Linked DNA regions of Notamacropus eugenii. The protein of the gene in region 1 interacts with the protein of each later gene in a pairwise test. Links are inferred from orthologs where the notes say so. Each region holds a gene or a part of one and is shown on either strand. Other genes may lie near its edges.

Region 1 (7,574 bases):
GAAGTTCGGACAAGCCCCGCGCTGTGGCCTAACTTACGGCCTTCTACCGTTTCTCTCACTCCAGGACCCACTAGGCTAACGAGACTGCGCTTAAAGGCTTAAAGCCCCCACAAGTCATAAACTGCAGGAGAACAGCCAGCCGAGCATCACGTCCAAGCACCCTCCGCGGCCGGCTTCTCCCGAGGCCCGGCAGCTGTCCGGGCACAAAACTCCATTTTAAAACGGACTCCAGTTCTACTGGGTTCTGGAAAGGGCCGGCGGCTGCGGACGCAGGCTCGCACTGGCTCCGGGCGGCCTCCCTCGGGCGCCCCCTAGCGGGCAGCCGCCCGAGAGCGGCCTCTCCTCCCGGCTGGGGGGCCCAGCTTCCTCCAGTCCTCGCCAACGTGCGGGCACCACCTGGCAAAGTTTCACCACGAGCACTCCTGCCAGGCTCGGCGAGGTGGGGGGCGCGGCGCCCCTCGGGAGCTCCCGGTGGCCTCTCGGAAGCGCGGCCCGGGGGCATCACGCCGGGGGGAGCGTGAGGACGAGGCCGCCAGGAGGGACGACGGCCGGGCCGGGTCGACCCAGAGCGCGGCCGCTCCTCGGGAGACCGAACGCTAACAAGCGCGGCGGCTTCCCCGAGCGGCTGCTCCCGCAGACGCCGAGGGCCATTAGCTCCGTTATTACCAGGGGCTCGGCGGCCTCCGACCTTCGGGATTAAACTCCCCCCCCAAAGCACTTTCAGGGAAACCCCGGGGCCCGCGTCCCGCGCCCCCTCCCCGGCCCACGACGGGCCCCGTCTCAACCCCAGAGCCCACAAGGGCAGAAGCCGCGCGGCAGGAGCGGGGGCAGACCGGACTTAAGGCTCAAACATCCGGGAAAAGTTGCCCCCGCTCGCCCCAAGGCCTGCGCCCAAGCCCGGACACCGGATTCGGAGGTTCACATTGGCCCCCAAAAGTCTCCCCTTCCCCCTGACCCGGCCATCCACGGAAGGCCGCTCGGCCACGATCCTGGGGGGCTTTAAGAAAATAACGCCCCCAAACTGCTCTCCTCGGGCGGGGGCCGGGGCCCCGTCTCCACGCGGCCGGCACGCCGGGGGCCCGGCCCGCCAGGGGAAAGGGAGGGGACGGTGGCGGGGCCTCGCTCGGCCCTGCGGCCCCGGGCCGGGCGTTGTAACAGCCGGCGGCGCAGGCCCGCTCCCCCGAGAACACTCAGCGTGGTGTGGCGTGGCTGCCCCCCCCCGCCCCGGCCACCGCCCCTCCCGGGCCGCCGGCCCGCCTTACCTCCCCCTCCCGCCCGGCCGGCCGGCCAACCACCGCCCCTGGCGAGGAGGGAGGCCGCGGGCGGAGCCGGACCGGGCAGGGCTGGAGGCCGCGCGGCCGCCGCTCCCCGCGTGGCCCGACCCCCAACCGCTCCCGGTGCTGGGCCGCCGCCGGGGGAGCGAGGCCGGGCCGGGCCGCGGCCAGGCCGGGGGTTGGGGGAGGGAAGGGGGGGCGGGGCACGCGCCGGGCTCGCGGGCCCCCCCCCCCGCAGGGCCCCGGGGCCTGTGACAGGAATCGGCTCCCAACATGGCGGACAGGAAGCGGCCCCGCGACGAGCGGAGAACATTCCAGCCGCGCCGGCCCCGGCCCCGGCCCGGACAGCGAGGGGACAGGGCGGGCGGGGCGGCGAGGACGAGGCCGATAAAGGGACGGCTGGTCCAGGCCTCGGCCCCGCCGCGCCCCCCGCCCCCACCTCCCGGCTCAGCCCCGCCGGGTCCACAGGTGGGCCGGGGCCGGGCGGCGCCGGGGGATGCGGGGGAGGGGAGGCCTCGGCCCGGCCCCGGCCTGGCCCGGCAGCGCCCGCCCCGCGTGGAAGGGCAGCGGGCCCGAGCCGGGCGGACGGGGGCCCGGGAAGGTCACGCCGGCCGGCGGGCGGAAGCAGGGGCGGGAGCAGCGGCGCGGGAGGGTGTCCCCGAGCCCCGTGACCCCGGGCCCCCTCCCGGCCCCGCACCCCCCGCGCTCCCGGACCTGTTTTCTTCTTGGGCGCTTCCTGGTGCGGCTGCAGGGCGTGCTTGGGCTCATGTCTCAGCGGCTTGGGCTGGGCCTTGGGGCTGCTGCCGTCGGGCCCGTGCTGCAGGTACTGGTGCGGCTGCTGGTGGTGCTGGTGGTGGTGGTGGTGGTTGTGGTTGTAGTAGTAATAATGGTGGTGGTGGTGGTGGTGCGGCGGCGGCGCCGGCGCTGCCTGGGGCGGCTGCTGGGGGTGGTGGTGGTGCGGGGGGTGGTGGTGGCTGTGGCTGCTGCTGCTGTGCTGGGGCGGCTGCTGGGACTGCGGCGGCGGCGGCGGGGGCTGAGGCTGGGGCTGGCCGGGCTTCTCCTCCATTGAAAGCGGCGGGGACTCCCTGGCTGGGGCTGCGGGCTGCTGCACCGTCTCCAGACCGTCTCGGGCTGCTCTCCGGGCACACACCGTACATCTGAGTGGCTCTCGCCAGGGCCCCGGCTGACTGGGGGATTCTCGGAGATTGGCAGCCGCCCTCCAGCAATCGGCGGCCCGAGCCGGCCCGCAGGCCCCGCCCCCGGGCCCGCTCCTCCCCTTCCCCCGCCCTCTCGGCGGGCCCTCCCCGGCCGAGCGCCACTTACCCGGCGCAACCTCACAGGGCTGGGCCTCCAACGTCAGCACTATGGCTCTGCGCCGTCGGGGCCTCGGCCCGGGGCTCGGCGCCGTCCGCCAGCAGCACTTTCCACACGCCTGCCCCCGCAGCTAGCTCGCGTCCGGAGCGGCAGATTCCACGGGCCTCCCGCCCGCCCGTTCCGGGGCCGGGCCGGCGGAGCCGCGGGAGTCTGGGGCCGCGCCACCGGTTGTTTTTAAACGCCGGTCGTTCCGGAGTCCGCGGCTGCCGGGGGTCCTGGGCCCCTTCCGCCCTCGGGGCACGTGCCGCGCCCCGGCCCCACGCCCTGGGGACCGGAGACCCTCCCCGCGAGAGCCGGGGGCAGGCCCCGCCAACTTCGCCAGAAAGTCTCCCTCCGGATCCCCGGGTTCGGGGCGGGGGAGGCGTTTGTCTGGGGAGGGGGTCGTGGGGGGCTTGTGCCCGAGGGGCCGGGGGAGCGAGGAGGGGATACTCTTTATCCCCTTGGCCGGCTGGGCGAGCTGGGCTTCTCACGCTTTACAGAAATGAGGGTGAAATAAGAGGATTGCGCCGGGTCCTAGAGTGTCAATTAAAATAATCCCGTGTTTATTACATAACAACATGTGATTATAAAAGCAAATGTGATGTCAGTCCTGTAATTCCCTTTTATGAGTTCTCCGCAGGATTAGGTCAGACCTGCTCCCGGGTCAGACAGCAACAGGTTTCCGCGCACAGGCCGGTCGTTTCCAGATGAACACGGGGAACCCAAACCTATCCAAAGCCCGGGTTGGGGACTGCAGCTGCCGCCCAACACACGAGCTGGGCGCTCGCTTCCCCCTCCGCTCACAGACCGCTGCGGGGCTGGGATACCTCTGCCCTCCGAGTCTTTGACTCAGACCTGAGACACGAGATTGCCAGGAGTTCCACCTGCTCCCAGGTCACTTCCCCGGGGGCTTTGGGAAAGCCGTGGGACTCCCTTCCGCGGGCCTTCCTCTCCGAACTTCCCAAACCTGTTACCTCGCTTCCAGTGAGCTACCTGGACCGGAGGAGAGAGCTGCTGTCCTGTGCCCGCAGGGCCGGCCGTGCCAGAGCCGCCAGGTCTAGGAACTCCTCGGCTGTACTTCTCCTGGCTTCTTCTGAAGCGCTTTCAAACCAAGTTTACTCGACCTTGGTAATACTTAGGACGTTTTCAGGTCAAGTTCCGTCCAAACAAAAACATCGCATGACTTTTTCTAAGGCCCTTTCCCATTTTGTCCAATATGTATTCCAACTAAGGGATTAATAGCTAGTATTTATAAAGCGCTTTAAGGTCAGCAAAGTGTTTGACAGACATCTCGTTTTATCCTCACAACAACTTTGGGAGGTAGGTGCTATTATTATCCCGATATTACAAATGAGGACATTGAGGCACACTCGAGAAGTTAAATGACATACCCAGGGTCATATAGCTAGTGAGTGTCTAAGCATGTGTTTGAACTCGGGTCCCCCCTGGATTCTAGGTTGGATGCTCTTGAATTCCTTAAATATGTGATGTGACCAGTGATACTGAATCAGCATACTTTTAAGAGATCAGGAAATGGATGGCATTTATTTATTTTCCACTCATAATAGCTAATTAGTAGGTATATCTGAACTCTGTCCTGTCTGAAAGCTGTCTTGAAGGGAAGAGCAGTGTCTCTTATAATGACAACTCTATATCCTTGGCTCCCCAAAATAATTAAAGTTAATATATTCCCCCCACTTAATATACTTTGCCCTGAAGCTGCCTATAAATGAGCAATGTTCAACTGATAATGATGTCATGTCTGGTTACTGCTCTTTGAGAAGGAAAAAAAAGTGGGGAAAGGGGGTGGAATTTGATATTCCAACGAGTTAGTAAACCAGCGTTGACCTGACTCGAGAAACTCCAAACTTATTCCTTCGATACCCTGACCTCGCATATCCTATGTGCTTTCTCTTCTGTCCCAGTTGTCAATCATTTTGACTTTTGGGTTTCTTTATTAAAATTGGAGCCGCATGCCTTTAATAAAAGGACTTCTCAAGTACTGTGACTCTATCTACCTCAGTGACCCCAAAGCCACCAGCTTTTTCCCAGATCTTTATTCTTCTATCGTGATTTAAGAGGTTAAAAAAAATCAAAATTTCATTCAGAGATCCTCTCTGATATTTAAAAGCAGTTTTATTAATAGATGAGTATAGCTTTCAGATGTTAATTTACCTTGTGGTTTCTAAAATCTGGCAAGCAGTATAGCACACTAAAAAGAGAAATTGAGATTTCCTGCTTAACATTTAAAAAAAAAAACCCAAAACCTTTTTCTCCTTCCTGGAGACCAAGGATGAGGTGTAACACTTTTTTCCTCTCTCTTGCTGTGGGTGTCTGTTGCCTTAGACAAATCATCTTGTGTTACTCCTAAACTTGAAAAGAATTGCAGCTCGTAAGTGGTCTCAGCAAAATTAAGAGACGAACGAGCTTTGCTAAGAAAAAGCATTTATTATTATTTTTAATGTTAGTCACGATGGTTCTAATATTTCATGAAATCTTTAAAATGCACACAAGTTCTGTGGTTCCAGAAATGTACCTTAAAATTTTAGTTATAAAATTAAAATATAATTTTTCATACATCCTTCACCTTGTATTTATACTCTTATGATTCAGTCTCAAAAGACGTAGGAGAAGCTGCTACATTTAATGAGAAATGCCTCATGTTCCATTGGTTGGCAAATAATTTGCCCTCTCAAGGCCTCTGTTTCGTGGGGTCCCTCTTGGTTCTAATGCTCTGGGAATAATAATCTTTCATCCCAGAGCTTCTTCTCTTTGTTGTGAAATCACATAGCATCAGAGGAGTTGGCAATGCAGAGTCCAGTTTTATAGCTGTAATAACTAACTTTCACTTTCCACAAACTATAATCTAGAGAGAAAAAAAGGCCTTGTCCAAATGTATTTATGTGGAAATCAGACCTACCTCTGATGGTGATTCCAACTTCAAAATCAGGCAAGTCACAGAGCACCCAGAATTACAGGATTTCCAATGTGAAATATCTAGTGTTTCATTCCATTACAGAAAAAAAATTTTCATTCATTTTTTTTTCTTTTAGATCTCAGAATTTTTCCCTGGAGATACAAGCTTCAAAAAGACTTTTGGAGTGACTAGATGGAGATAAGGAGAGCTCAGGTTAGTCTTTCAGCAAGTAGAATAAGATGACTTTCTGGATATGAAAGGTTTCGATTCAGGCATCTGGCCTTTGGAGTATCATCTTGTCAGGAATAAAAAGCCAAATCGGCCTCCATTGAGCTCAATCAAATGACGGTGTTTTCTGGGGTTTAACTAACAGACAGTATATGCCAAGGGCACTAATTGTGACCCACACTTGATGAACTCCTGAATTCCAGAGTTCTGTCAAACTGAGCTGCCCTTCATCCTTCTCTGAATGACTTTGCTGGGACATGCACCCACATTGATAGCATTTGATCTACCATTTTTAGCAATTGACAGTAAGATGTCTACAAAGCCTCCTCCAGTACAAAGGCCAAATTGGAAAAAAATGAAGAACAATGAAAATAATATAGAGATTAACCTCCAGTAGTGGAGACCTGGGTTCAAGTCTTGCCTCTAATACATACTGGCAGGTTGACCACAGACAAACCATTTACCTTCTCTGTGTCCCAGGTGACTCTCCAAGACCACAAGCTATGAAGAGAATACAGATCTCCATTGGGAGCAGGGAGTTTCTTCCCAGCAGCTCCCTGCACCCATGAAATCCCAAGTCCGGTCCAAAAAGATAGAGAATTAACAGTTTAGAGCAAGAAGGAACCTTAGAGGTCACCTAACCCTAACCTTCATGTTACAGAGAGGGCCAGTGAGACACGAAGAAATAATTACCCAAAATCGGCAGCACTTAAGTGGCTGAGTGAGGATTTGGACCCAAGGCCACCATCTCTAAGTCCATCATTTTTCTATTCTGTGGACCCTCCTTTTCCTTCAACGACTTTATATTTTAAATCAGACCAAACTACACAGACATGGTTAACTAATAGGGTGTGGTGCCCAGTACAAAAATTATGTCAAAGGTCAAAATTCCTTTGCCTCTTTTCTATCTGTGACCTGGCCACACAGAATTAACATAGTTAACTCTACCCTTGGCAAGCTCGCTTTACGTCAGTCTGCACTTCAGTGTCCCCATCTGCAGAAAGGTCTGCCCAAAAATGCTATGAAAATGGATGAGGTAATGGTCTCAAGTGATCTGGGGGAAGAGTACAGTTCTCAATCCAAAGCACTGTGTCCTGTGTGCTAAGCTTCAGATTCATACTACCAGGTTTGTCTCTCTCCAATTCCAAGTCTAGAAGAATACAGCTCAAGAAAGTCCCCATTGAACCTAATCATCCTGCCTAGTGGGGCCATGACTCGCAGATGGCAGCCAGCCCCGCCTTGTCTCCATGGTCCGTAATCCCTGAAAGGGATGATTGGCATCAGAACAATCTCTTGCATGGAATCAGGTTAACCAGAACAAATAGCATCTTTTAGCTCCAGTTCACTCTGGGCATCCCATTAGTGTCCATCTAGGTGCTACCAGACGGGTGAGCTTTTCCCAACATTGTACAAAAGGAAGACATTCTTATTTCCTGATAATTTCCTACCTGTGGCTAAAGAGAACTAGCCCCTAGCCTCTGACTGGAGGATAGTACTGGTATAGCCATGCAGGCCATGCATTTATTGGAATCACCAGCTTTCAGAAATAGCTTCTGCCCCTAGGCCTTACAAAAGAAAGTATTTTAACCCTTAATAAGTCTCCCCTCTGAAAACCCAGGGAGATACAGTATAGAAAGGGAATCATCTGGAAGGACAACAGCCACCACCATCGCCACCACCATGGCTCTTGATATGTCACCAGCCTCTTCAGTTTTATTTCTGATGATCAGGGCATAAAGCCTAGACTTGGAACCAGGAAGGACCTAAGAAAGGTCACCTAGGCCAGCCCCCTCCTTTTACAG
Region 2 (7,496 bases), on another chromosome or scaffold:
AAGGTTCATTCTCACCTGTGCATGTCCAGGACTTGTGAGACAAAGAGTCAGAATGGAAACAGTCAGTATCCTAAACAGGGATGAGAAATCAAACATAAATATTTTATATATACAAATGTCTAAGTACTAGATGAATGTGTTATAACACAATACTTTGAGGAGGAAGGTCCAGATCTATGATTTCACTGAAGTTGAAAACTCCTAAAGAAGAAAATTTCTTTTACCAATGCAAATTGATAAATGTTCCATAATATATTATCTTAGCAGTAATTAAGTGACTTGCCCTGGGTTACACAGGTAGTATGTTTCAAAGTGGAGTCTTGAACCAGATTTTCCTCACTCTGCAGTTGGATATCTAGCCCCCTCACCATGAGGCCTCTCATTCAAATAAGATTTTTTTATAATCAAAAATAGCATTTTGTGCTATAGAGGCTAGAGAAACAGGGAGGACTGTCAGATGCAAATTAAGCATTTACCAAGTTTTTACTTTGAATGCAAACAGAGACAGTAATGCTTGAGTTTAGAAAATTTTTTATTATAAATGTGTGTATAGATGATGATCCTTGTGACCTACCTCAAAAGATCAGAACAAATGAGATGATCAATGGGAAATGTTTGAAGTTCCAAAGAGCAAAATGCTAGATGAAGTTGATGCCAGTGTCATTTAATATAAATGTTCATCTAGCCTAGATACACCTATCAGTGTCTTCCATCAACCAGTAGTGGGGACATTAGAAAATACTGCCTAAGTTTAATGTTCTGTGACCTCAAATTTAACTCTTCACAGTTAATAGGGAGGTTGATCAAATATTCAATGAATGTGAATAACTCAGTCAACCAATCAGAAGAAAGGCAAAACTGAACTGTCTAGACTGATGATGTGTTTGTCTAAATTGGATAATTCATTCATTTCTTCTTTTGAAAAACTATTATTCAATCAACAAATTCTCTTTAGATGCAGACCTGACCTCCACATACTTATTCTGTGACCCATATGACTTTGTCTATTTATTCTTTGGGTAAGTTGAAAAAAAATAAAGTAATTTGACCATTATTCAAAGACAGCAAAGTCAGGACTCATAATTCCCAGTTTCTTCATCTAAGCAAGATCACTCTCCCCAAATAAAGAAATACTCTGAAATTCCAATGGTTTCTTAGCTATTTAATATATAAGGCAGCATTAGCCAGGTTTCATATTATTGGAGACTGTTCTAACCTTATAAAGTTCATAGCTACATCCCAGAGCTGTTTTGTTTTGAGTTTTTTTGTTGTGGTGGTAGTGGACTTTTTTTAATTCACAAAAACTAAATTTATATCTTTTTTTTAAAAAGAGCAACAACAAATTTATTTTCCAGCCTGTTTATTATGAATTTCAATGTTTTCCTGTTTCCTCATGAAGTTTCCTTTCAGTTAGTTATTAAACCACTTTTCATTTATATTGGAGGCTGAGTAGTCTGAGTACCTTCAAGAGCTGGTACAAAATCTATTTTAACACCCATTCTTCCGACCTTTGGGCTAGAGATATTCACCAGCTACAGTCTCCCCTCAAACTTCAGAGCAGATCAAGGCACCCAGACAAAGGCTCTCACCCTTGGCAGAGTGACAGGCAAGTTCTGGGAGTCAAAAAAGTTTCAATCAGTAGCAAAAAGTTTTTACAATTACGAAGGAGCCCCAAAATGCCATTAGCAAAACTTCTTGCCTACGAATAACTTCTGTGACACTGAATCTACATTCTGCTCTTCTGGACAACCAAAATCAAAGCAATCAAAAAGAGAATGAGAAAAAAATATATGTCGTCAGATGTATGGCTAGATTACAACTTCTCATTCTCATTCTCACAATCCAGGATACTTTCTAAAAAAGCAGGTGAAGCATCCATTCCATGCCTTTCCCCTAAAGAAAAGGAAAGGGGAGGAGGGACCTATCAAATGGCATTGCTTGCTGTCAGAAGAGATGATCCCAGGCTTGTTTTAGTTCAACACACACACACACACACACACACACACACACACACACACACACACACACACACACACACTGAAATCCATTGATTTAAAGAAATCTACAGGCTTTTACTAGACAAGAATCCCGGAGCTGTCACTCTCTTAGTCATTAATTTTAAGAATCACTTATCTGTCTCTTAATTTTCCCTAATGAACAACATAAAGTTTGCTTACATGTACTTTTGTCTGCAATCCGCACTTCTCATTGGCTTTATACTTCTGGGTCTCATTCCCTTTGCGAATCACACACAGACATACAGTACAATCCGGCACAAGAGTGTAAATGTGTTCAGCCAGGCACGATGCTTTGTCCAGCAGATGACACATACAAAATAGCAATTCTTTTCTGTGAAGATTGCTAGTAAACTTAAGCTTGGTCTCTCAAATCAGTGATTTTTTTTGGGTAAATCAGCTTGGGTAAAAAAAAGCTGCTGCCGGTCTGTGAAAGTGTTTTTTAGATGAAAGCACTGGCGTTGGAGCAGTAGAATTCTGCAGTCCTGGGACAGACAATGTGACTTCTAAAACTATTATACAACACCACTCCTTGTCCCTCCCCTTCCCTTCCTCCCACCCTCCCCCCCCCCCCCAGAAAAGATCTTCAAGATGGAAATTACTGAACAGCACATTTTTATAATTAGCAATCTTGTTGCATCACTAGCAAATCTCTTTTCCAGTGTCCTGACACAGATTGAACCTCAGCCATAGACATTTTCCACACAGCAGGCTATAGAGCAAGTCTTTCCAATCCCTGAAGAAAGAAGTTCCGTACAAAGAACCTACCTCTTTAATCCTGGCATGTCCCAGATGTGTGGAGAAGAAAAAAAGGAGGTGGGTGGAAAAAGAAAGAAAGGGGAAAAAAAAGATCCCAGTGCCTACTACTCAAAGGCGTTTCTTGAACTTCAACCTTCTCTCTGCCCTTTGATTCTTGTTTTAATGATATTCCAGTACAGCAAGTAGTGAAGCGGGCAGAGTAAGGGTCTGAGCCTCCTGAGGCACTGGAGTGAGTACAGAGAAAGCACCTGGTTTTGCTTAGTCCTTCTCAGTAATTCAGCATTAAACCAATTGGAGGAGGAATGTTAAAAATGAACACTTCATTTTCTAAGTATGTTAAACAATGCAAATGGAGCCTCAGTCTGGACACAGCTGGTTCAGATTAGAGAGCTCACCAACTGGCTAGACTCCTCACAACAATCTTGGGGCGTCTGCCAGGACGAAAGTCTCAGAGCTCGAAGGAAAGCCTCTCCTCCTGGATTCTAGCAAGCAAACACACACACTCTGCAGAGAGCATCTTTCTTGGCGAGGACTACTTATCAAGTGCATGGAGGGAGGTGGGAACACGGGGGTACGTTCACCCTTTAGTTTCCTTCCCAGCTACAACATCCCAGAGTTTTGCAGAGGCCTCGGATAGTCAGGGGATGAGAGGGAGTTATGAAGATTTAGCCCTCCAGGTCATTGGCATTTGAAGAAAAGTTTTTAACCTTTTTCGGGAGAATAGAAACTTGTAGAATACAGCTACAAATGACCACTGCGCTTGATTTATTATTAGAAATTAGCACAGATTAAGTGAAGATTTAGAGATAAAAAGATAGAAGGGATGAATATTTGCCAAAAGAAATGCCATAAGGAAGATCATATACCAATGGCTAGTAAAATTAAAAAGACAGGGTTCTAACCCTTCACTTCAACTTTTGAACAGCAAATTTCTAACTTTAATCTTTCTAGCATCCCTTTACAGCTGGTTCATGATTTTGCTTTAAAAAAAGGTCATGGATCATAGTAGATTTAAAGTGGGAAGGAAGAGATTGCCCAGTTGAACCCCTTCTTTTACAGATGAAGAAACTGAGGCCAGAGAAAGTGACTTCCCCAAGGTTACATACATAATCAATGGCAAAAGGGGGATTCAGCCTCCCAAATTCAGTGTTTTCTTCATTATACTACCCTGCTTTTCTTAAATAATAGGAGGATGTGAGAAAAAGAAGCAGGCATGAGATATGAGGATGCTCTCAGTAAGGTAATTCTGCTTTCAAAATACCTTACATTTCAGTCAATGGTCAATAACAGTTATAAAGCACAGTCTGTCTGGCACTATGCTAAGCACTGGAGATACAAAAAAAGGCAAAAAAAAAAAAAAGAGTACCAATCTCAAGAAGCTCACAGACTAATGGGAGAGACAATACACAAACAACTATGTAGGAACAAGATATATGCAGGATGCATTGGAAAGAATCATCAGAGAGAAGGCACTAGAATTATGGGAGACCAGGAAAGGTGGGAGTTCAACTGGGACTTAAAGACAAGCTCACCAGAAGGCAGAAATGAAGAGGGAGAGTATTCCAGGCATTGGACAAAGTCAGTGAAAATAACTGGAATCAAAAGATGGAAGGTCTTGTTTGAGGAAGAGCAAGGAGGTCAGTGTCACGGAGAGTATGCAAAGGTTAGGAAAGCATAGAAATTGAGGGGATGCCCATCAATTGGGGAATGACTGAACAAGTTGTGGTATATGAATGAAATGAATACTACTGCGCTATAACAAATGACGAACAGGAAGACTTCAGAGAGGCCTGGAAGGACTTACATCAACTGATGCTGAGTGAAAGGGGCAGAACCAGGAGATCATTGTACATAGTACCAACCACAGTGTGTGAGGAATTTTTCTGGTAGACTTAGCCCTTCACAGCAATGGAAGGACCTAAAAACTTCCCAATGGACTCTTCAGGCAAAATGCCATCCACATCCAGAGAAAGAACTATGGAATTGGAATGCAGAATGAAGCAGAACATTTTCTCCTGTGTTATGTTTTGTTTTAGTTTGTTTTTTCTCATGATTTCCCCCATTCATTTTAATAACTTTATGCAAAATGACTAATGTGAAAATGTGCTTAATAAGAATATATGTCTAGAAATCATCAGATTGCATGCTGTCCCAGGGAGAGAGGGCAATGGGGGTGTCTTCACATGTTACTTCTTTGGAACTGAGCTTGACCTTTGTAATTTTTAAACATCTGTTTTTGATAGTTCTGTGGCTGTTATTTCCATTTATGTCATTGCAGTTATTGTGTATATTGTTATTTTGGACAGTATATTTTGCTACTTGTTTAATCATGTAAGTCTTTCCATGCTTTCCAGTATTCATTAGTCATCATTTCTTACAGCACAGTAAAATTTCTTTATACTTATGTACCACAATATATGTGCATGTGTGTTGGTAGTCTGTATATCTTTATCAGACAAATTTGATAGAGATCCCTCTGCCCCCCCCCCCAGTTCAACTGCTTATTCTACATGCATTCATCTTGTTCGCGTGGAAGCTTTTAAGTTTCATATATTTATCTTGTATAGTTATTTCTATCAACTGTTGGTTTAAAAATACATCTTCTACCTGTGGAAAACATATATGATCTACTTCTCATTTTTTATGTATGGTTTTTTAATCTTAAGGTAATCTATCCATTTAAAATGCATTGTGGAATGTGATGGAATGGTGTTGGTCTAATTCTATTTTCTGCCAGACAACTTTCTAGTTTTCCCAAAAGTTTTTATCTAATAAGTTCTTTTCTAATTTATGTTTTCTAGTTCATTGAACATCGGGTCATTGAGTTCTATTTCTTTTCATCTTTCCTTGCCTAGTCCATCCACTGATCTACTTCCTTATTTTTTTTAAACCATTACCAACTGGTTTTGATAACTGACAGGCTATAATAGAGTTTGCACTCCCCTATTCATCCCTACCTTTTTTCCTCATTATTTTCCTTTATAGTCTAGATATTTTGTTTCTCCAAATGAACTGAGATAATTTTATCAAGCTCTGTAAAATATCCTTTTGATAGTTTGATTGGTATAGTATTAAAACTATAATTTTCTTAAAATTTGATTTATTTTTAATTTGTAAACCTAAGATAAGCATTTCCATAATTTAGCAGAATAAAAAAATCACTTGAAAATACAAATCTTTTATGTATAACCTGTTATTTCTTTTAAATATATAATAAAGTAATCAAGTTTCTTTTTTTCTCTCTGAAAATTATAACTTTTAACTGTCATTTTTATTATATTGGCACAGTCCAACCATGATCATTGAATAGTTTTCCAAATATTTAGGTTCTTCTTTATTTCCATAACGGATATTTTGCAATTGAGTACAAACAGGTATTTTGTATACTTTGATAGATTGAGCTCCAGGTATTTTGTGCTTTTGTAGTTATTTTGAACGGTATTTACCTTTCATTTTGATGTTATAATATAGAAATGTTATTTTTGGGTTGTTATATAGAAATACTGTTATTTTTGCAGCTAGAAACTTTGAAACTATTGTTTCAATTGAAATCTTTGCTGTTCACCTAGAATTTTCTAAATAAACCATAGTGTCGTTAGCAAATTGGAATCATTTTATAACTCTTTTTTTGCCTATCTTTTCTCCTTTAACTTCTTTCTCTTGATTTATTGCTGTTGCTGTCATTTCCAGAACTATGTCAAATAACAGCAGAAAAACTGAGCATGCTTGCTTTATTCCTGTATTTCTTGTAGAAGTTTCTAGTGGATCCGATCTTTTTAGATTTCACATACATTTCCTGATATTAACAAAAAATCCCACTATGCCTATATTTCATAGGATTTGTAGCATGAAATGAATATTGTACTTTGTCAAAGGCAAAGTATTGAGATAATTAATTATAATTATGTGACTGTAATTATAATTACAATAATCTCTGTTACTTGAGATAATCGTGTGGTTTTGGATGTTTTTATACTTTGTATGATTATGGTGATGTATGTTTTGTTTGACAGGACTTGAAATGTCTTTAATTAATATTCAGTAGTGACATCAGTTCATGGTTCTTATTTGCTTTATCTTTCCCTCATTTAGGAATCAAGGCCATATTCATCCCAAAAAGAGTCTGATAAAACAATTTCTCAATTTTTGAGAATACTTTGTATGGTATTAAATTAATTAAGTTAATTTATGATATTAAAACTAGTTGTTCTTTAGAAGTTTGAATTATCCTGTGAATCTACTAGGACTATTCTCCTTTGGTAGGCCCTTTATTACTCATTTTATTTCTCTTTTCTCAGATTGGATTATAGAAGATCTCTAGTTGGTTACTTAGGTATTTTATATTTCTAAAAGTATTCCTCTATTTCTTTTGTGTTTTCAGTTTTGGTAGCATATAACTGTTCATAGTAGGTTCTAAGAATTCTTTTTATTTCCTCTAGTTTTGTTGTGGTATCACCTTATTCATTTGCTATTTTGTTGATTTGATTTTCTGCCCTTTTTTATAACAGGTCTGCTAAAGCTTACTAATTTTGTTAGCTTTTAAGAACTAGGTTTTAGTCTTATCATTTCTAATGTCTTTTTCTATTTCCAGTTTAGTTCTCCACTACTTTTCCATATTTCTTATTTTAATTTTTTTGGGGGGAGAGTTATTTATTGGCTAATTTTTTAATATGTGTATTTAGTTTGTTTTTCATTTTGTTAATGTATGTTTTTAGAGATAAA
Region 3 (7,867 bases), on another chromosome or scaffold:
TATAAGAAATGATGAGCAGGATGCTCTCAGAAAAAATCTGGAAAGACTTGTACGAGCTGATGCAAAGTGAAATGTACTGTGTACAAAGTAACAGCAGTATTGTAAAGTGATTAGCTGTAAATGACTTAACTATTCTCAGGAATATAGCAATTCAAGACAACTCTGAAGGACTTATGAAAAATGCTATTCATCCCCAGAGAAAGAATTGATGGTGTCTATATACAGATTGAAGCACACTTTTTTTAATTTTATTTTTCTTGATTTTTTTTGTCTGTTTCCTTTCACAACATGACAATTATGGGTATGTTTTACATGACTGCACATGTATAACCTATATCAAACTGTTTGCCTTCTTCATAGGGGTGGGGGTGGGGAGGGAGGAAGGGAGAGAATTTGGAACTCAAAGTTTTTAAAATGAAAGTTAAAAATTGTTTTTACATGTAACTGGGGAAAATTTTTTAAATAACTTAATTTTTTAAAAAGAAGAAAAAAAGTCCCACATACCTGGAATGAACTTCTTCCAAACCTCTTCCTTTCTTCAGTGTCCAATCTAGGAGCTACTTCTCATCCCAGTAACCTTCCCAACTATGCCCCAGACGAACATGATCTCTCCTTTCCAATTTTCTTGGAGGATCTCTTCCATATCTCATTAGTAGAGGTGTCAAATAGGCAGCCAGAGGGGGTCATGTTGCAGTCTGTAATACTTTCAGTTGCTAGATTAACATGTGATTTGGAAATACAATATAATATTGAATACAATAATATAAATACAGTACAATATAAATAAATATACAATGGAACATAGTATTAATATGTAGTTTTCTAAGTCAATATGCAGCAGGCAAAGAGATCCTTATCTATGGTTTAATGGTCCCAGTTTCTATATGATTTTGACTCCCCTACTCTATTGCATACATATCATATTCTATATTTCATTCTACATATTTGTAGAATGGGCAGCTAGGTAATATCATGGATAGATTGCTGAAAAATGAGGTTAGAAAGACCCGAGTTCAGAGCCTACCTCTAACACTCATTAGCTACATGACCTGGTCAAGTGACATAACCTCTCCCAGCATTAGTTTCCTCATTTATAAAATAAGGATAATAATAGCACCTATATCACTGGCTTATTACAGAAAATGATATTCTGTGTGTATTACATATATGCATATACTTAACAAACTTAAAATGCATTTTATCAAATTTTGGTTATTACTATTGGTTATTACTATTTGCATATATTAGATTATAAACTTTTTGAAGGCAAGGACTGTGTTGTTCTTCTATCTCTGTATTCACAGTACAATTAGTTTCATGTGGTAGGCATGTAAGATTTTTCTTAAAAATGTATTAAACTGAATTCTAGCTAAGAAGCTTGAAAAAGGATTGAATGAGATCTCTCAGGAGACAGAGATTTCTCTCAGGATTCTGGAGAGGTGGAGGTGTTTTATAGGATTTCAACATGTCCAACGAAGCTCATTTCTTTATTCTTATTTTCTTTCTACCAATGCAATCTGCACAGGGGAGAAATTCACACACCTGCCAAACTCTGGTCTGACATCAATATCTTCAAATAGAGGTTTTCTTCTAAATGTGGTTGGGGTGAGGGGTGGAAAACTGTACTTTTGCTTGCTTTGTTATAGGAAGCGCCCACTGAGGAAGCTCCTTCCACAGAAGCAGAGCTCCAATTGTACTGCAATTCTCAGTCTGAAAGTCTAAATGACTTGCCCAGGACCACACAGTTAGTTTGGGTCAGAAGTAGGATGTAAGCCAGGCCTTCTGGACTGCAACTCTTTCTGAGGCCAGCTCTCCATTCCAGGTTCCTCACCTGCTCCTCTAGTTAAGTGGGAAGGATACTAGGTAAAAATGAAATAGCCTGAATTACTTGTAATCGTAACAATAGGAATTCAAAATTTGATTCACCATGTTAGGATCAAAACACTCTCTTCTTGACATAAGAAAAAGTGATAATAGCCACCAAAGTGCTTTAAAAATATAAAAAGGCTTATATAAAACAGATCTAGCTGGCTTTTTCCCTCAATCCATGGGCTTTTTAATTTTGGTTCTTTTCCCAATAGTAACAATGGGTTTACACTGAACACACTCTTTGGCTTGGTCCCCTGTGTAACCAATGACTCACATTTGTGATTGGGCTGGCTGGTAGACTAGATATAGTCTAAAGTAATAGAACAGAAATTATATTTGTTGGAAGTTATTAATCCATCCTAGGGATCTTTCTACTCTACTCTATAAGCTTTCACCAGCTAAGCTAACTGGTTTCATCAAATGGGAATCAGGAATAGCAGAAATGAAAGTGTGTTCATCCTTCATTGCTGAAGAAGACCATGCCATCAGAGAAATAATGACATGACTTGCACTTGACTTTGTTTTTGAGTGAGGGAGGGCTGTTCAGGTCACCAGCCTCACTTCTCCTCCAGAGCCATCTGAATCCAGTAACCAGATATTCATCAGGATGACTGGAGATGACCCAGGATGAGGCAATTGGGGTTAAGTGACTTGCCCAAGGTCACACAGCTAGTGAGTGTCAAGTGTCTGAGGTGGGATTTGAACTCAGGTCCTCCTGACTCCTACAGTGGTACTCTATCTACTGCACTACCTACCTGCCCTAGAAATGAAAGTAAGAACTAAGTGGTGCCTGGATGTAAACCAGGAGACCTGTACTATGAATTGGCCTGTGGGAAGAAGGTTCTGAGGCTATAATCTGTGAGAGCATTATTTTAAATAGAAAGGTGTGTGTGTGTGTGTGTGTGTACTGTAAATGTGGAGAATAAGATGAATGGGTCAAGACCTTAAATAAGGATTTGAGGAGTGAATGGTGGTTCCACATTTTGTTTGGTTTCCAGAACTGGTTTCCCTTTCCTAATATATATTCATCCAAATGGAAGAATATATCCTTTGAGTAAGCTAAATGCTGGTCCAGGTATTAGTTTACAAAGCAGAAAAGTGGTTGTCCACTTCCTACCTTACTTAGAAATTCTCGTTCATGTTCAACATAGCAACTGTTAGGTATGCCAAGAAAGGCATGGCTACAGGAGGAAAAAGTGTTATTGGAAAGAAGAAAAAGAAAGAGTCCATGGAGAGAAAAAAATCAATGAATAATTCTACCACTTATCCTAGGAAACAACAACCCTTACCACAAGGAAGTTAGGTTCTGTGGAGGTATAGTAATTCCTCTAAGTTTCATTTCAAATTTGAAACTCATAGGTAATTTTCCTTTCAAAGGGAAGTGTCTAAAGCTACACTCCCAGAATTCAACAATTAGAGAATGAGAACACTCAAGGAAATACAGATCGATGTTTACAATTTTGACTCATAAGGTGGTGGTTTAATCTCCTTTAGTGGTGGTTAACCTTTGGGGATAGTGTGAGTGATTTCTACATGACTTTCCTGCAAAGGTCCATAAGAAAGGAAGACTGTTTGTCTCTCTCACTTTGAAAGCTTATCAGGGACCAGAACAAAGTCTGTTTTTGATTGACTTTTTTGAGTGCATGTAGTTTAGGTTTATGTGAACGAATTAAACAGCTTCCCCATACATAAATACCAATATGGGAGTTTACTACCTAGTCTGCAAACAAAAAATTACTGGGTTGGAGGAATGAATTAAAATCCCAAAATCTAAGCAAAGTAGTCTAATGCTTAATCTCTAGCTTTATATTTTTCAGCCTATACATTGAAGAAATAGACATATTTGTCCACTATGATAATCTCACAGGGGTGCTAGTTCAATATTGACAAATCTCTTGAGAAGAAAGATAAATGCAAAGTATTGTGAAAAGCTTGGATTGAGATAAATTAATTTTCTACAATCTAGTAATGGTAATATAGCACTGAGAAGGGGGAAAGAGATACTTGTCTTGATCTGGAAGACAGCCAGTGGTCTGAAAACTGATAAATATAATTCAGAAGGGGCAACTTTGCTCTTTTGCTGAGAAATCACTTGACCCAATGGGGAGGGGCAGAAATGAAGTAGAGAAGCATCTGTTAAATCATTTCTGTGCTTTTTCTTTTCTTGCAATTACTATTTAGTGTAAAGAATTAGAGTTGGCAGAAGAGGAATATTTATTCAGGACCTTCCATTTGTGCCCTTTTATTGAAGTCATTTACTTTTTCCAGTACATAGAGTACTTGAAAAGTTGGACAACTTTTGCCCTAGTTTATAAAAAATAAAATTAAAAAAAAATTAGACAATGCAAGCAGCAGATACCCATTCCCTTGAACTGAACAACTTTTATCTTATTTTCATATGGAATGTTCATAGAAAAAAATTAACCGGGAAATTTTATTCTCCCATGGAATTGTGTAGTATGGAGTGCACTGCTTTTAGATGTCAACAAGTCCATTACTTTCTCTGGCTATGGGAATATTATAATGAGTTAGAAGCTCCTTCTCTGGAATAGAATGTGTGAAATAAACAGTTGGTGAAAAGGATGAAGAATTAACGAAGTGAAAATCTCAAGTTATTCCTTAGGCAATTGACATGAAATTGACCTTCTTAAATGCTAGCTGTTAAAGGACGTTCAAGACCAAGGATGAATGAATCTCTAGGTCACCCAAACTATATGTTTCTCCAGTCTTTCAGGAAGTAGCAGCAAAATTATAAGAAGCGCCGGGCTGGGAAAGTGGAACCTCAAACCCCAGAACCCACTAGGTTACATACACCTTGTATGTAACAGCGTGCAGTTTCTTCTTGCCCGGGATCCTGGAGGTTACGTTCAAAGAGTCGGCGCTAGGACCTAGTCGGAGTCTGGATCCGTACCGCTTTCGGACGGCAGGAGGAGGGAGGGGGTGAGGGGGAGGTGGGAAAGAAGGGTTGTGTAGGGGGTGTGTGTGGGGGGGAGACTCATTTATGCAGAGAAGGCGCTGCTGCCATTTCAACTCACACTCCACACTCACTACTCGGAGAGGGAGGGAGGGAGGGAGGGAGAGGGAGAGGGAGAGAGAGAGAGAGAGAGAGAGAGAGAGAGAGAGAGAGAGAGAGAGAGAGAGAGAGAGAGAGAGAGAAGGGAGGGAGGGAGACAGAGAGGGAGACAGAGAGAGAGACAGAGAGAGAGAGAGAGAGAGAGAGAGAGAGAGAGAGAGAGAGAGAGAGAGAGAGAGAGAGAGAGAGAGAGAGAGAGGAGGGAGGGAGGTTTCTGAGTCTGACGGAGCAGAAGAGGCGCTCAGCTGCCAACACTCACACTGCCTGCTGCTGCTGCCGCTGCTGCTGCTGCTGCTGCTTCTGCTGCTGCTGCTGCTGCTTCTGCTTGCTGCCGCTGCTGCTCTCTGGACCTAAGGAGAAAAGAGGGAAGAAAACACAAGATAATCAAGTGGGGAGATAAAGAACAGGAGTGAGAAGGAGGTAAAAGAACTGCGGTGAAGAAGAAAGACAAACTCAAAACACTCATCTGTACAGAGAAAACCAAACAAACCTAAAAGCTTCAAAACTGGGAGAGCAGCTCCTGTCCACTCACTTCATCTCCTGAAAGGGAGAAGATTGGGTAGTTCACCTTAACAATCAGAGATGGTCTAGAAGCCGGCGCAAGGTCCAATGCAATATTCCAAGCTATTTCTAGTTTCTTCCACCTAAATTTGGAAGGGTTTCTCGCTGCGGCTGGGGATTGTCTGACTGGAAGTGGTAAACATCAAGAAGCCGCTGGAACCCAGGGGAAAGGGAGCTTTGAAAGAGTTGTGTTGATTGGGGTGGTTTCCCAAGGAGGAGAAAGGACGATGGGCTGGAGGAGTCGGTGCTGCCTGGGGCGATTGGACTTGCTCTGTGTCTTGGTCCTCCTTTTGGGTTGCCTGCTGCCCGTGTGTAGGACTCGCGTGTACACCAACCACTGGGCTGTAAAGATCGCCGGGGGATTCCAGGAGGCCAACAGGATAGCTAGCAAATACGGATTCATCAACATTGGACAGGTAACCGGCAACATCCTATCCCCTACCCCCATCCCTTTTGTTATCTTCCCCTCTCCCCCCTCCTACTCCGGACTCTGAAACTTTTCCCCATCCCTCTCCCTCTGGAGCCTCAGCGGTGGAGATAACTCTGGCAGCGGACCCCGGTGAACGAAGCTGAGCTAGCGGCTCACTTCCCCGCCCCCTAGCCTCCCACTTCCCCTACCTCCAGATGTGCGGCTGCTTGCCTTCTCCGGTTGTCCCCCCACCCCACCCCCTCGTGCGATCCTGGGACACGCACTCAACCCAAACGCATGCCACACTACACAAAATTCTGGAGGTTGTTTGCAAGTGGTTCGGGGCAGGAGGGGAAGGGGTGGTGCTTTCCTTCAACTCGGGTCCTCAGCACATTCCTCCTCGTGTGTGTGTGTGTGTGTGTGTGTGTGTGTGTGTGTGTGTGTGTGTGTGTGTGTGTTATTGGAGGGGGGTGTCTAGAAATAAGTCATTTGTTGGCAGCTCGGAGAGGTCAGACAGAGAAGAGGTTAAACTGGATAGCACCGACTTGAGACTAGAAAGAAGTTTCCGAGTCTAGAGACTGAATACAGTGAAGCGCAGAAGAGAAGGGCGTTTGGAGTGGAGAGTGGAGTAGGAGAAGGGGACGGGAGGGGTGTGTGCTGGAAGAGGGCTTTCCCTTGGTGGAAGCCCTGTTGCTTATTTGGGAAAAGAGCTCTCTCCCCTTCTTCCCTCCTCTCGGGAGGGGTGGAAGTGAACCAGAGAGTCTAGATGTAGCGGGTGGGAATGGGAGGTGGAGGCTGGAAACTTCTCCCCTAAGATCTGCCTGCGGGTTCTTGTCTGGGAAGGTTTTGAGTCTGGTGTCAGGACTAGAACCTAAGATTAAGAAAGCGGTGCGGGGTAGGAAGGGCGGACTGAGTTCAGAGTGCAGCAGGTAAAAAGATATTACTCCACCTCAGTTACATTCGTTGTGTTCATCTTATTTTTTTAAAATGATATTTATACCATTCACAGGCACAGATTCCGTTCCCTTCACCATCACAACCCCCCCCCCCCCCCCCCCCGCCCCAAGCTGTCCTGTCATTTAAAAATGTAGATAAAATGAGGTGATTCTGTGGGGATGGATGATTGGAAGCAGAACAAGGAAGCTTAGCTAAAGTCCTGCATTACGTGTAATTTACGTGTGCCCCTTTTCCCAGCCCCCATCCACGCCCCAGGTAACTCAGGGATTATTGATCTCCATCCATCTCCTTAGCTTTCCCGTTTTTTTCTTTACCTCTTCATCCCAACCCTCAAACCAAACCAAATCAACACAAACCAAAACAAGAAACCTAATGAACTGGGAGGAGCTGGGGGAAACTAGTCCCAGAAATTAAACACGTCTCCCCAGACACGTACGCGTTCTTCTGGAGCTGAAAGGGGAGTGGAGGTGGGAGAAGATTCCAAGTGGAATAGGAGCCCCTCAGGCCTTTCTCTCTGGGACTCTCCCCCACCCCCCTCCCCCGCCCGTCAGCACAGCCTGCGTGTTCTTGTGGCTTGGCCTCGGGTACGATGGGAGGTGAGGGGCGCCGGATCTGAGGGCCGAAGGGTGCTGCTGCTGCTGCTGCCTTGATAAAGAGACCCACAGAACACAGGGTTTCTTAGAAAGTCTCCGCCTTGCACATCCGTAAGCCGTTTATGCTATTTCCAGGGAATAGGAACCTGAGGCTGCTATCTCACAAAGCCACTTGTGCCCGAACAACGAGATCGGAGGAGGTTGGTTACGCTTGGCACTGGACCAAAAAAAAAAAAAAAAAAACCAAACAAACAAACAAACAAAAAACGTGGGGTTTGGGGCTGGCTGGCTAACCAACCGGCTGAGGCTGCTGTTGCGAGCAATGCTGCCGCCGCCGCCGCAGCCCCTGCCAGGGTGGCGTGGAAGGAGGGAGGAAAGGGGGAGGGAGTTTCTATCCCGCTAGTT

What was found. The genes of interacting proteins can lie anywhere in the genome.
Region 2: the proteins of NUFIP2 (region 1) and FBLN5 interact in binary tests that used the Homo sapiens proteins (3 or more experiments, as listed by UniProt). The link is inferred for Notamacropus eugenii from reciprocal best matches to the Homo sapiens genes NUFIP2 and FBLN5.
Region 3: the proteins of NUFIP2 (region 1) and PCSK5 interact in binary tests that used the Homo sapiens proteins (3 or more experiments, as listed by UniProt). The two-hybrid records come from large-scale screens. The link is inferred for Notamacropus eugenii from reciprocal best matches to the Homo sapiens genes NUFIP2 and PCSK5.

The regions. Positions count from the first base shown.
Region 1 is NC_092873.1:36,771,081-36,778,654, forward strand, and holds the start of NUFIP2 (FMR1-interacting protein NUFIP2), read right to left. Parts: upstream 3,019-7,574; 5' UTR 2,341-3,018; coding exon 1,989-2,340; intron 1-1,988. UniProt on the Homo sapiens protein: Binds RNA.
Region 2 is NC_092878.1:38,570,868-38,578,363, reverse strand, and holds the start of FBLN5 (fibulin-5), read right to left. Parts: upstream 3,021-7,496; 5' UTR 2,801-3,020; coding exon of another isoform or gene 2,784-2,800; intron 2,501-2,783; 5' UTR 2,234-2,500; coding exon 2,178-2,233; intron 71-2,177; coding exon 16-70; intron 1-15. UniProt on the Homo sapiens protein: Essential for elastic fiber formation, is involved in the assembly of continuous elastin (ELN) polymer and promotes the interaction of microfibrils and ELN. Stabilizes and organizes elastic fibers in the skin, lung and vasculature.
Region 3 is NC_092874.1:375,902,424-375,910,290, forward strand, and holds the start of PCSK5 (proprotein convertase subtilisin/kexin type 5), read left to right. Parts: upstream 1-4,847; 5' UTR 4,848-5,730; coding exon 5,731-5,919; intron 5,920-7,867. UniProt on the Homo sapiens protein: Serine endoprotease that processes various proproteins by cleavage at paired basic amino acids, recognizing the RXXX[KR]R consensus motif. Likely functions in the constitutive and regulated secretory pathways.